Rattus norvegicus: one gene and its partners. The protein of the gene in region 2 interacts with the protein of the main gene of each other region in a biochemical or structural test. Links are inferred from orthologs where the notes say so. Each region holds a gene or a part of one and is shown on either strand. Other genes may lie near its edges.

Evidence for each region.
Region 1: the proteins of Sort1 (region 2) and Bdnf form a complex in vitro, tested with the Homo sapiens proteins (2 studies listed by BioGRID and IntAct, with this or other methods). The link is inferred for Rattus norvegicus from reciprocal best matches to the Homo sapiens genes SORT1 and BDNF.
Region 3: the proteins of Sort1 (region 2) and Sorcs1 form a complex in vitro, tested with the Homo sapiens proteins (2 studies listed by BioGRID and IntAct, with this or other methods). The link is inferred for Rattus norvegicus from reciprocal best matches to the Homo sapiens genes SORT1 and SORCS1.

Annotation. Positions count from the first base shown.
Region 1 is NC_086021.1:116,666,381-116,670,033, reverse strand, and holds part of Bdnf (brain-derived neurotrophic factor), read right to left. Parts: intron 3,480-3,653; coding exon 2,709-3,479; 3' UTR 1-2,708. UniProt on the Homo sapiens protein: Important signaling molecule that activates signaling cascades downstream of NTRK2. During development, promotes the survival and differentiation of selected neuronal populations of the peripheral and central nervous systems.
Region 2 is NC_086020.1:198,667,938-198,671,590, reverse strand, and holds part of Sort1 (sortilin precursor), read right to left. Parts: intron 2,638-3,653; coding exon 2,531-2,637; intron 1-2,530.
Region 3 is NC_086019.1:259,532,624-259,536,376, forward strand, and holds the start of Sorcs1 (VPS10 domain-containing receptor SorCS1 precursor), read right to left. Parts: upstream 2,864-3,753; coding exon 2,306-2,863; intron 1-2,305.

The DNA of each region.
Region 1 (3,653 bases), on a different chromosome or scaffold from region 2:
AATATTTTTCTTGTTTTACATGGTGAATAATATCTTTACCATAGAGAGAACAAGGCCACAGACATTTACTTACAGTTTCAATGGGAATCACTATAAAAAGCATCAGGCCTGCTGCCATGCATGAAACACTTCTGCCAAAAAGAGACCACAGCAAGACTTTCAGAACAGAACAGAACAGAACAGGACGGAAACAGAACGAACAGAAACAGAGGAGAGATTTTAACAAATCAATCTCAGGTCAACATAAACCACCGACATGGAGCTATGATGTATCTTAGTGGGTATGAGAGCCAGCCACTGACCACACAGTTGCGGAGGGTCTCCTATGAAGCCACCTAATCGACCTGGCCCTTCGAATACCGTGAGATTGTGATGGGGCTCCTTTTATTTGTTTGACTAACGTCTCTCAGAATGAAGCTGCAAAAAGTTAGCATATAGCAGATATTCAAAGCATTCCTTAATAGGTTAAAAATGATGACAGAGATTAATGTTGTCAAACGGCACAAAACAATCTAGGCTACGTGAAGTCTTCCAAAAACAGGGGATTCAGTGGGACTCCAGAAGACAGACTAGTTCTAAAGGAACAGTTGAACAAAAAGAAACTATTTGCTGATGGTATCTTCACTCCCTGAGTCACAGTGGACAGCCACTTTGTTTCACCCTTTCCACTCCTAAGATGAAGCAATTGTTTGCCTCTTTTTCTGATGCCCAGGAGCCCAGTCAGGTAACCACTAACACATTCGCGCTGGCGGAAAACCTCACTAGGGAAATGGGCTTAACACTAGTTCTCATTGGGGCCATTCATTCAGGCTTCCAGCTTGACTTCTCCTAACCCCAAGAGGTAAAGTGTAGAAGGGACCCTTGTGCTGAATGGACAGAACTATCAGGAGCTTTCTGTGCTCTTCACTTAAGCAGTATTTCCTCCTGTGTTCTTGTCTCTTTCACAGTGAAAGCACCTTCCTATGCCTTGTCATTCTAGCCCTTACAGACAGACATTGCTCATTCTGCCTAAGTTTTGGTGCTTTTTCTGGTTTTGTTTGTTTGTTTTCTTCTTTCTTTTTTCCTTTCACCAAAATGTCTCAAAAAAATAAATAAATAAAACCTAGGCTTCCTGAAGTCTAAGCGCAAAGAAAGTTAAGTCTCTTCACAGCAAACATTTCCCATCATGCTGCACTGATAGCATCACTGCTATGCCATATTTGGATCCAAAGCTGCTCCAGGTTAATCCAACTTTATCCATAATTATTTAAAATGGGATGGAGGCCATAAATGGATTTGAGTGTGGTTCTCCAATTGAGAACCTCTTGAGCACTGTTAGGTAACGTAGGCACTTAAAGCAGAAGGCCTAAGAAACTTGACACATCATTCCAGAGCCTGCTCTGAAGGGTGCTTCCGAGCCTTCCTTTAGGAATGTCTCAAGTACCATTCCCCACCTCCATCTAGACCTCAGGATGGCCACTCAGAAATTCCTCCTGCTCTGCCAGGAAATAGTATGTCAGCTCCACTTAGCCTCCACAGGGCCATTCAGTCGCATTTCAGTGGCAGTGTGGATCCCTGCTCTAGTATCTGGCTGTATGCAATATCTTTTATCTGCAAACATTGTTAGGCCATATTATAACTTATCCACTGTTTATGCCTTTAAAAAAAAAGAACATTTTCGGTTATTCTTACTTGTTTCTCCTTAGGGCAAAAAATAAAAAAAAAATCACTGTTTTCCACGAGTGTCATGAAATGACACACATTGTTCATCTGTTCACAGCAGTGATAAAATATTTCAAAGCGCGCAACTTAATTTTCTTTCTTAAAACAAAACAAAAAAGAAAGGGACCAAAATGGGAGGAGGGAGGGAAAGAATGTGCTTTAAACAAATGCTGGTCTTTCCAATAAAAGCAGCTTTCCCTGACCCATGCCAGAAGAGTGACCTGGGGGACCAGGGAGATACATCATGGGCAGTGTTGTGTGAGCATTTTATTCAGTTGCCTTAATTTTTATTCGTTTTCCAGTCATCTGATTGGATTTTGCAAACATTTTTTACAACATACAAATGTAACGCTTTATCAACCAGAATGGAGAGTGAAGAAATTTTCTCCATCCCTACTCCGGGTGGAACTAAAAAAACAAAACAAACAAACAAACGAAATAAAACACAAAACAAACAGAAATCTACCCCTCCCGTTCCCCATCCCCTAAGCCAGTAAAGCAATGACAACAGCACCTTGACATAGTTTTAATTCCAACGCTATGAGAAGTTGAAAGCAGTAGAACAGAGTACTAACAAGAACGAAGATACTTAGTGTCTAAAATGTAAACGGAATGTTTTGGTTCAAATTTTTGTTTTTGCTTTTTTTTGTTTTTTGTTTTTTTGTCTGTTTTCTGAAAGAGGGACAGTTTATTATCAATTCACAATTAAAGCAGCATGCAATTTATTATTTTTTTTAACTTTTTGTTTTCAATTCTTGGCAACGGCAACAAACCACAACATTATCGAGGAATGTAATGCAGACTTTTAAAGTTGTGCGCAAATGACTGTTTCTTTCTGGTCATGGATATGTCCAATAAATAGATTGTAGAACCACTGTACTGTATAAACTTCATTTATACATGCAGTTCATAAAATTATCTTTTTCTTAACTGAATAATTTACCCTGTTATGTATATATACAAATAGATAATTTTTGTCTCAATATAATCTATACAACATAAATCCACTATCTTCCCCTTTTAATGGTCAGTGTACATACACAGGAAGTGTCTATCCTTATGAACCGCCAGCCAATTCTCTTTTTGCTATCCATAGTAAGGGCCCGAACATACGATTGGGTAGTTCGGCATTGCGAGTTCCAGTGCCTTTTGTCTATGCCCCTGCAGCCTTCCTTCGTGTAACCCATGGGATTACACTTGGTCTCGTAGAAATATTGCTTCAGTTGGCCTTTTGATACCGGGACTTTCTCCAGGACTGTGACCGTCCCACCGGACATGTCCACTGCAGTCTTTTTATCTGCCGCTGTGACCCACTCGCTAATACTGTCACACACGCTCAGCTCCCCACGGCGGGCGGGGTCGGAGTGGCGCCGAACCCTCATAGACATGTTTGCGGCATCCAGGTAATTTTTGTATTCCTCCAGCAGAAAGAGCAGAGGAGGCTCCAAAGGCACTTGACTGCTGAGCATCACCCGGGAAGTGTACAAGTCCGCGTCCTTATGGTTTTCTTCGTTGGGCCGAACCTTCTGGTCCTCATCCAGCAGCTCTTCGATCACGTGCTCAAAAGTGTCAGCCAGGGACGTCGTCGTCAGACCTCTCGAACCTGCCCTGGGCCCATTCACGCTCTCCAGAGTCCCATGGGTCCGCACAGCTGGGTAGGCCAAGTTGCCTTGTCCGTGGACGTTTGCTTCTTTCATGGGCGCAGCCTTCATGCAACCGAAGTATGAAATAACCATAGTAAGGAAAAGGATGGTCATCACTCTTCTCACCTGGTGGAACTGTGGGAAGGAAGCAGAGACAGACACAGAACAGGTTAGACCTTACTTTCTTGGGGACACCATGTGGCCCATCTGCTTGTAATTTCAGACCTTTTTTCTTTCTTTTTTTCTTTTTCTTTTTTTTTTAATGTCTTACTGATCCACTCCAGCTGCAGGGGACACAAATCAATGTCA
Region 2 (3,653 bases):
ATGCCAGCAAGACTACTGAGTGGTATTTAGCTAAGAGATGACGTTAGAACCTCAGGGTGAAGGGCTGGAGAGATGGCTCAGCGGTTGAGAGCACTGACTGCTCTTCCAGAGGTCCTGAGTTCAAATCCCAGCAACCACATGGTGGCTCACAACCATCTGTAATGCGATCTGATGCCTTCTTCTGGTTTCTGAAGACAGCTACAGTGTACTTATATATAATAATAAATAAATAAATCTTTAAAAAAAAAAGAACCTCAGGGTGATAACTACAGTCTACACGCACTATGGCTTAACTCGAGGTATAGAACCAACCCATGTAGCTTCTTCTTTTTAGTGATCGATTTATTTTTATTTTATATGCATTTGGTGTTTTGCTTGCATGCATGTGTGTGTGAGGGTGTCAGGTCCCTGGAGCTGGAGTTGCCATATGTGGGTGCTAGGAATTCAATCTGGGTCCTCTGGGAGAGCAGCCAGTGCTCTTAACTGCTAAGCCATCTCTCCGGCCCCCAGTCTATGTCTCTTTTGCTAGATGAATGCATAAAGAGAGGATACAGTGCATGCACAATGGGATGTTAATCATTCTCAACAAAGGACAGCCTGCTGTTTGCAACCACATGGATGAGCCCAGGAGGCTGTCTGCTATGTAAAATAAACTAGGCATGAAAGACAAATGCCACATGATGTCACTTAAATGTGGAATCGACAAAACACACTAAACTCATACAAGCAGAGAGCACAGTGGTAGCTGCCAGGGATCAGGAGGCAAGACAGGGAGGGGAAAATAAAATCTTTAAAAAACAGGGGAGTGGGAGCTGGGGGGATGGTACAGAGGTTAAGAGCACTGACTGCTCTTGCAGAGGTCCTAAATTTAATTCCCAGCAACCACATGGTGGCTCACAACCATCTGTAATGGGATCTGATGCCCTCTTCTGGTGTGCATGAAGACAGCTACAGTGTAGTCAAATACATAAAATAAATAAGTAAAATCTTTAAAAAAAAAAAAAAAGACAGGGGGGGCGATATTGGCGAAAAGGTTCTGAAGCTTCTGTTTTGGACAAGTAAGTTCTGAAGAGCTAGTAAGCATTATGGACCGCATCCTGCAAACTGTGTGACATACTTGAAATCTGCTAAGAGAATAGGTCTAAATGCTCGAATCACACATAAGAAAGAGATAGCTTAGTTAACTGATGTATGCATTAATTAGCTTGACTATGGTCATATATCTTACAATGTATACAGACAGGAAAATGTCAAACCATACATTATGAATATATGCCATTTAAATTTATCAACTATACCTTACTGATGCTGAGGGAAAAGCACATGTCAGAAAGTAGGCAAATGTGTGAAGGCAGTCTAACCACTAGTGCCATTCAAGGAGCTCATATGAGGCAGGCGTGTAATATCCACACTTAAAAGACAGGGCTCACAGATACAGATACATATGACCTCGAGATTAGCCTGGTCTACACAGGCCCAGTCAGAGCCACACATGAGATCCTGTCTCACACAAGCAGATAGATCTCAAGTGGTCACAATAGTAAACATTATGTTTTCTTATTTTGCAAAAGGCTAAGCCAACTATTAGTGGAATAAGAATGATGACTGGTTCTAACTGGATGGGCGCCAAGGTAGGCTAGGACTACTGCAGATTACAACCAGCCGGGGTTTAGGGACACAGACGTGGCTTCTGTGAGGACACTGGGAGGATACAGAGGGTGTATAGAGAACAGCAAGGGTGTGTCGGTGGGGAGAGGTAGACAGAGCCAGGCAGGACAAAGCTTTCATTCACAAGAGAGGCTCAGTCTTTACCCCAGTAAAGCGAAACCAAGAGAAGGTCTTGAGGGAGCCAGGGGAGCCAGAAAGCGCCAAGGAGAGAAGAGACTATAGCCCCTGCCTTGGGCATGGTGAACTGGGCAGGGGTAGCACAAACCCAAGGCAGAAGAACAGAAGGATGGAGAAAATAGAAGCAGATGCATTAAGTATGGATACGAAAGGAGAGTGTGAGGAGAAGGTGTCACGCCATGTGAGATTCCCCACAAAAAGACTCCAGGCTGGAGAAGCAGAGGGGCCCTGTGTGTAACAGGTCTGAGAGGAATGTGGGAACAACCAGCTTCACTGTTGTTGAACTAAGTTCTTCCAGGCTGTGCCTACCCACACCTATAATACAGGCTGCTCTTTGGCCCCTGAAGGACTTCCAAGGCCTCACCCCACCATGTAGATCCTTAGCTAACAATAAGTACATCTGTCCATTCTGTCTCCCCTCAGAAATTTGGTAAAACAAATGGTTGTTACTCCATCTTGTTTTTCTTTTAAAAAGTCAGGCAAGCCACAGTATCTTGGCTTCTCCGTACAGTTTCTACTTCACGAATCCTAAGTAAATTCATTATTCTCATTTCTAAGCCTTCCACCTTCGCCTCTGGACCCTGACCAAGAATGAGATTTCATCATGGAAAAGCTCAGCATTGGCAGGAACAGAGCAGGCTGGCTGCTTTTCTGCACACACAGATGATGGTTGGCACCAACAAACCTCATTCTTGTTCTTTGCGGTAGCATCGCACTTGCTGTTCTCCGGCTTCTGCAGATGCTCCCACCGTCCTCCCTGGTCAAAAGTGATCATGCTCTGAATGGAATTATCTAAATGGGGAAAGAGTAACGTAAGCCCAGTGCATTGAAGAAAGAGTGATGTAAGCCCACCCCACTGGAGGCTACTACTCCAGTCAGCCAGCTACAATGGAACTGCTCTTCAGAAACTCCAACCATCCATCCATCCACCCATCATCCATCCATCTCTCCATCCACCCATCCATCCATCCATCATCCATCCCTCCCTCCCTCCCTCCATCATCCACTCATCCATTCATCCATCATCCACCCATCCATCCAATCTCTCCATCTACCCATCATCTATCCATCTCTCCACCCATCCATCCATCATCCATCCATCCATCCATCCATCTATCATCCATCCATCATCCACTCATCCATTCATCCATCATCCATCCATCCATCATCCATCCATCATCCATCCATCATCCAGCCATCCATTCATTCATCCATCCTTCCCTCCCTCCATCCCTCCCTCCCTTCATCATCCATCCATCCACCCATCCACCCATCCACTCATCCATCCATCCATCCATCCATCATCCACTCATCCACTCATCCATCCATCCATCCATTCATCCATCATCCACTCATCCATCCATCCATCCATCCATCCATGTTTACATATAAATGCATATTCTGTGTTGAGCACATTTCCCTTCGTGCCCTCCCCTTCTTACCCACTCCTCTGACTGTGGAACCCCATCTTAACACCTTACGCAGTAGCTCAGCACTGGTGACTATCAGGCCAGAAGAAGGTGTACCACTTGAACAGGATGTCCCAGCCAACCACCAGGAACTGTTGCTACTGAGAAACCCCAAAGCTCTCTCTTATGCTGTAATTTGGATCTCAAAGTCCTTCCTCATTGCCACTGCCCGGGTAGTCACAGCTTGGGTGCCAGACTGAGATTAGGCCAATAAGAGGAAGTTCCGTCACGGGCTGTGTCCATGAAGGGACGTCAGGGTCTTTCTCTTCCAATATCTGAGGCAATGGGCTTCATCTATTACATCTATCACTTCTACCATGATGCGGTGATTCAGACTCA
Region 3 (3,753 bases), on a different chromosome or scaffold from region 2:
AAATATTCCTAAGTAACTTAATATATGATTCTTGAATATTAATCTTGAAGCATCCCCAACTGTAGATGAATTCCTCACCCACAGCATGTTGCCCATGCTGTAGTAAAACACTAAGGAGTGAAACAGGATTCAGGTCTTTCTACGCTTCCATTGCACAAAGTTAGCCAAAGTGTCTTTCTGCATCGTTCCTCTTTACAAAATGCTTTAACGTTTTGCTCTCCCGGGTTCCTTAATGGAACTGGATAAACAATGTTTTCTCTTTCTTCATCATCTAGACAATACATAATAAGATAGATAAAGCAGTTACATGAGATGCTTAGAGCTGGACCTGGGAGGAGAGAGGACGGGAGGGAACTGTGAGGTATGAGCCCCCCTCATCACTGTGCTTAGCATAATTTGAGTGTTCAGCCTTTAACACTCAGCACCTTCATTATTTCCTACATTATCTTAGATTCATGTTCCTGCCCTAAGCCACAATTCTAGTAAGCCCCATTCAGCTCATGTGCATCAAAAAAAAAAAAAAATTAAAAGCTGGCAGTGCTTGGCGCCATTTCTAAATGGAGGTTAAAATTTGCCAAGGATGTACTCTCTTTCCAAGATCTTTTAAGAGATGAACTGAAGTAGAGGTTTAATGGGTGAGCGACATTTTACAACCTGAATTACGTTAAAAGCCAGAAATATTTTGGTCCAAAGTTTTATCTTTCTTTTTTTTTTCTTCTTCTTAATACAACAAGATCTAACACATTGGATACATTGAAAATCTCCTCCTAAAGCCAGAGCTCTGAGTTAATCACTTAATGGAGCTGGAGTTATTAGTCAGTATTGGAAGATCCACGTTAAAATGAAAGGATCAAGTTCAGCAACAATTAGACAAAAGATGTAGATCGCACAGTGCTCCAGGACAAGAGTGTCCAGAACTTGAGTAGGAATTGCTTCAACTTTAGATTTTGATTAAAACCGTTTCTGAGAACCTCCAGCAGCAGCCCCACATGAAGGCTGCAATAGACAGAAATCAGGGGCTGTCCTCAGTAGAGGGTAGGCTAGACCGCCTAATGCATGACACTGTATATTTCAAAACCTTCTCAACTCTCATTAAAAACCCAACAATGAACACAGCTCAGTGAAGTGGCACTTGTTGGCAAGCTTCCTGGAAACAGTTTCAAAGGTACCATGTTGTAGCCACCGTGCACATTACAGACACAACTCCATCAGGGGATGGAAGCTGCAGTTGAGATCCTCCCCCTACCCCCACCCCCACCTAACCCCCAATCCCCATTTTATAAACCTTTAACTTTTCTTCTCGCCTTCATGGTTCATGGCACGGCAGTCTAAAGAACTTTACGCGCTTTTAAATCTTCAGTTATTACCATCAAAGCTGCTTCGTTACTATTTCAGCGCATTGAAGTTTCTAGGTTTGGGCTAAACTGGGTAGCTTCCTCAGATTTCAAACATACAGGCTTCTCTGAAAATCGGAAGCTCCTGATAGAAACAGTGAGTTGCACCCTAAATCTTTTCTCAGCGACTGAAATCTCGTCCTGTTCTTCATAAAGGGAAACTCAAATCTTTATTTGAGCTCCTCCCTAGAGGAGGTCAGTCGGTGGGAAAACAGGGAGTTGTTGTCACTGGAATCTATCTATCTGATCTTCCCCAGGCTGACCATGCCAGAGAACAACTGCCCTTTCATGGGTTAGAAAAGCCTGACTCTCAAGATGCACTTGCTAATGCTGTCAGGAGATGCTGGGAAGCCTCTGCACTGAAACTTGCATCCGTTTGGTCCCCAAATAGATCCTAATACCAAAGGGCACCTTATATCCTACTGCAGTTTGCCTTCTCTGGGGTGGAACAAGGGTCTAGGAGCTCTGAATAATAATAAAATAAAAAACCCACAGATGCGACTTCTCCGTGCACCCCCAGTAAGTCTATCAGGTAAGGAAATGTCCCTTCAGTGAATTTCAGTGGGCTTGGAAATTTAACCCTTTCAGCACTGCATTAAAAATACTTTAACGCACACACCACCCCCACAGTTGGTCTTCAGTTCCACTCTCCAGTGTCATTGAAGAAATAAAAAAGATCTGCCTGTTCCGTTCCAGTTTGAACCTTTTGATCTGGAGAAGACTCTGAAGGTGGTGGTGGGGACTCCCTAGTAGGCACCATTAACTCTTGGGGGGAGGCCAGATGGGAAGACTTCACTGTGCAGCATCTCCCAAGAAAGAAACCCCTTTCCCCCAATTCTCCACCAGCTCTCACAGTGAATGGTAACCCTTTCCTTCTCTCACCCCTTTGCCCACAGTTCCACTTTACTCACGCTGCTGTTGTGGCCAGACCAGTGGACCATAGCTTGGTTGTGTGCCGAGTCTCCAGTCAGCGCAAATGTGGTGCTGGTCAATCTCAGCTCCTCCATCCGGAAGCGAGTGGCTTTGTCCGGGTCCCGCGCGCCAGTCCCAGGCCCCTGCTGCCCTCCATCCCTTAGCATGTCCCGGCGGCTCCGACTCGTACCCTCTCCGGGTTCAGTCTTCTCAGGATCCATTCCACTCCGTCTCCTACGGCCAGAGCGTGAAGCGGTCGCCACTGACACCCTGCTGCCCCCAGCTCGCTCCAGAAACAGCGCCCGGTCCCCGGGGGCCACTGCGAACAGGGGTCTCATGAAGAGGGGCGGGGGCGTGGCAGGAGCCCGACCCAGCGGTCCGGGGTAAGAAAAGCCTCTTGGGGTAAGGGTCCAGCGTGGGGTCGAGCTAGGGTGTTGCGGAGGGCAGCAAGAAAGGCTGCTGCAGATGCCAGGGGCTAAGAGCATCAGAAGCCCGGCTCCCGTTAGGAGCGCGCTAAGCGCGGCCGAGGAGCCGTCCCCGGCGCCAACTTTTCCCATCTCTGGAGCGGAGAGGAGCGGAGAGGGGGTCCCGAACCGAAGGCAGGCAGCGGAGCGAGGCACTGGGCTGACGGCGGCAGGGTGTGCGCTCAGGACCACAACTCCATCCAAGTTGGGCGGCGGCGGGGCGCGCGGAGGCGGCGCCGGGCAGGTGCCTGCCGCTCGCCCAGGCTGGGCTTGTGAGGAGCGCGCGGGTTGGGACGGAGCTGCGAGCCACCGCCGCCGCCGCCGCCGCTGCGCGGGGGTGGAGCCGAACTGAAGTCACGGGCAGAGAGGGCGCCGCGCGCCGGCTGGCGACGCGGGAGGGAGGGCGGGCTCTGCCAGGGCTCCGGGCGCTGCGTCCCGCCGGCGAGCTGCGCTGTGTACAGGGAGGCGGGCGCGGGCTGTGCTGTCCCCGACCCTCCCCAAGGAGCGCAGAGTCCCCGCAAGCAGCCAGAGTACCCTTCCTCTGGGGACGAGCAGCTCCTTGCTCCCTGAACAGGCGCTGTGAAGGGTTTCCTATTCCTGTTTTCTCTTCTCTACTCTTTGGTTGTTCCCCCTCTCTTCTCCTTTTCTTGTCTTTTCCAGTTTAGAAGATGAGTGGGTTCTTGCTCTCTCTCCCTGTTAAACTGGGCGAGTTGGCATCTAGTCCTTACTTTGTGTGCCCCAGCCTGCAGAGGATCTCAGAAGGCAGCAGAGAGTGCTGCAATAAACTCTGTGTGTGTGTGTGTGTGTGTGTGTGTGTGTGTGTCCTGCTCAGTCTATATGTGTGTGTGTGTGTGTGTGTGTGTGTGTGTGTGTGTGTGTGTGTGTATAGTTGGGGAGGTCCCCCCACCCCCTTTGTGATTCCTCCTAGACTCCTTTCCAGGTTTTTTTTTTCTTTTTCTTTTTTTATTAACTTGAGTATTTCT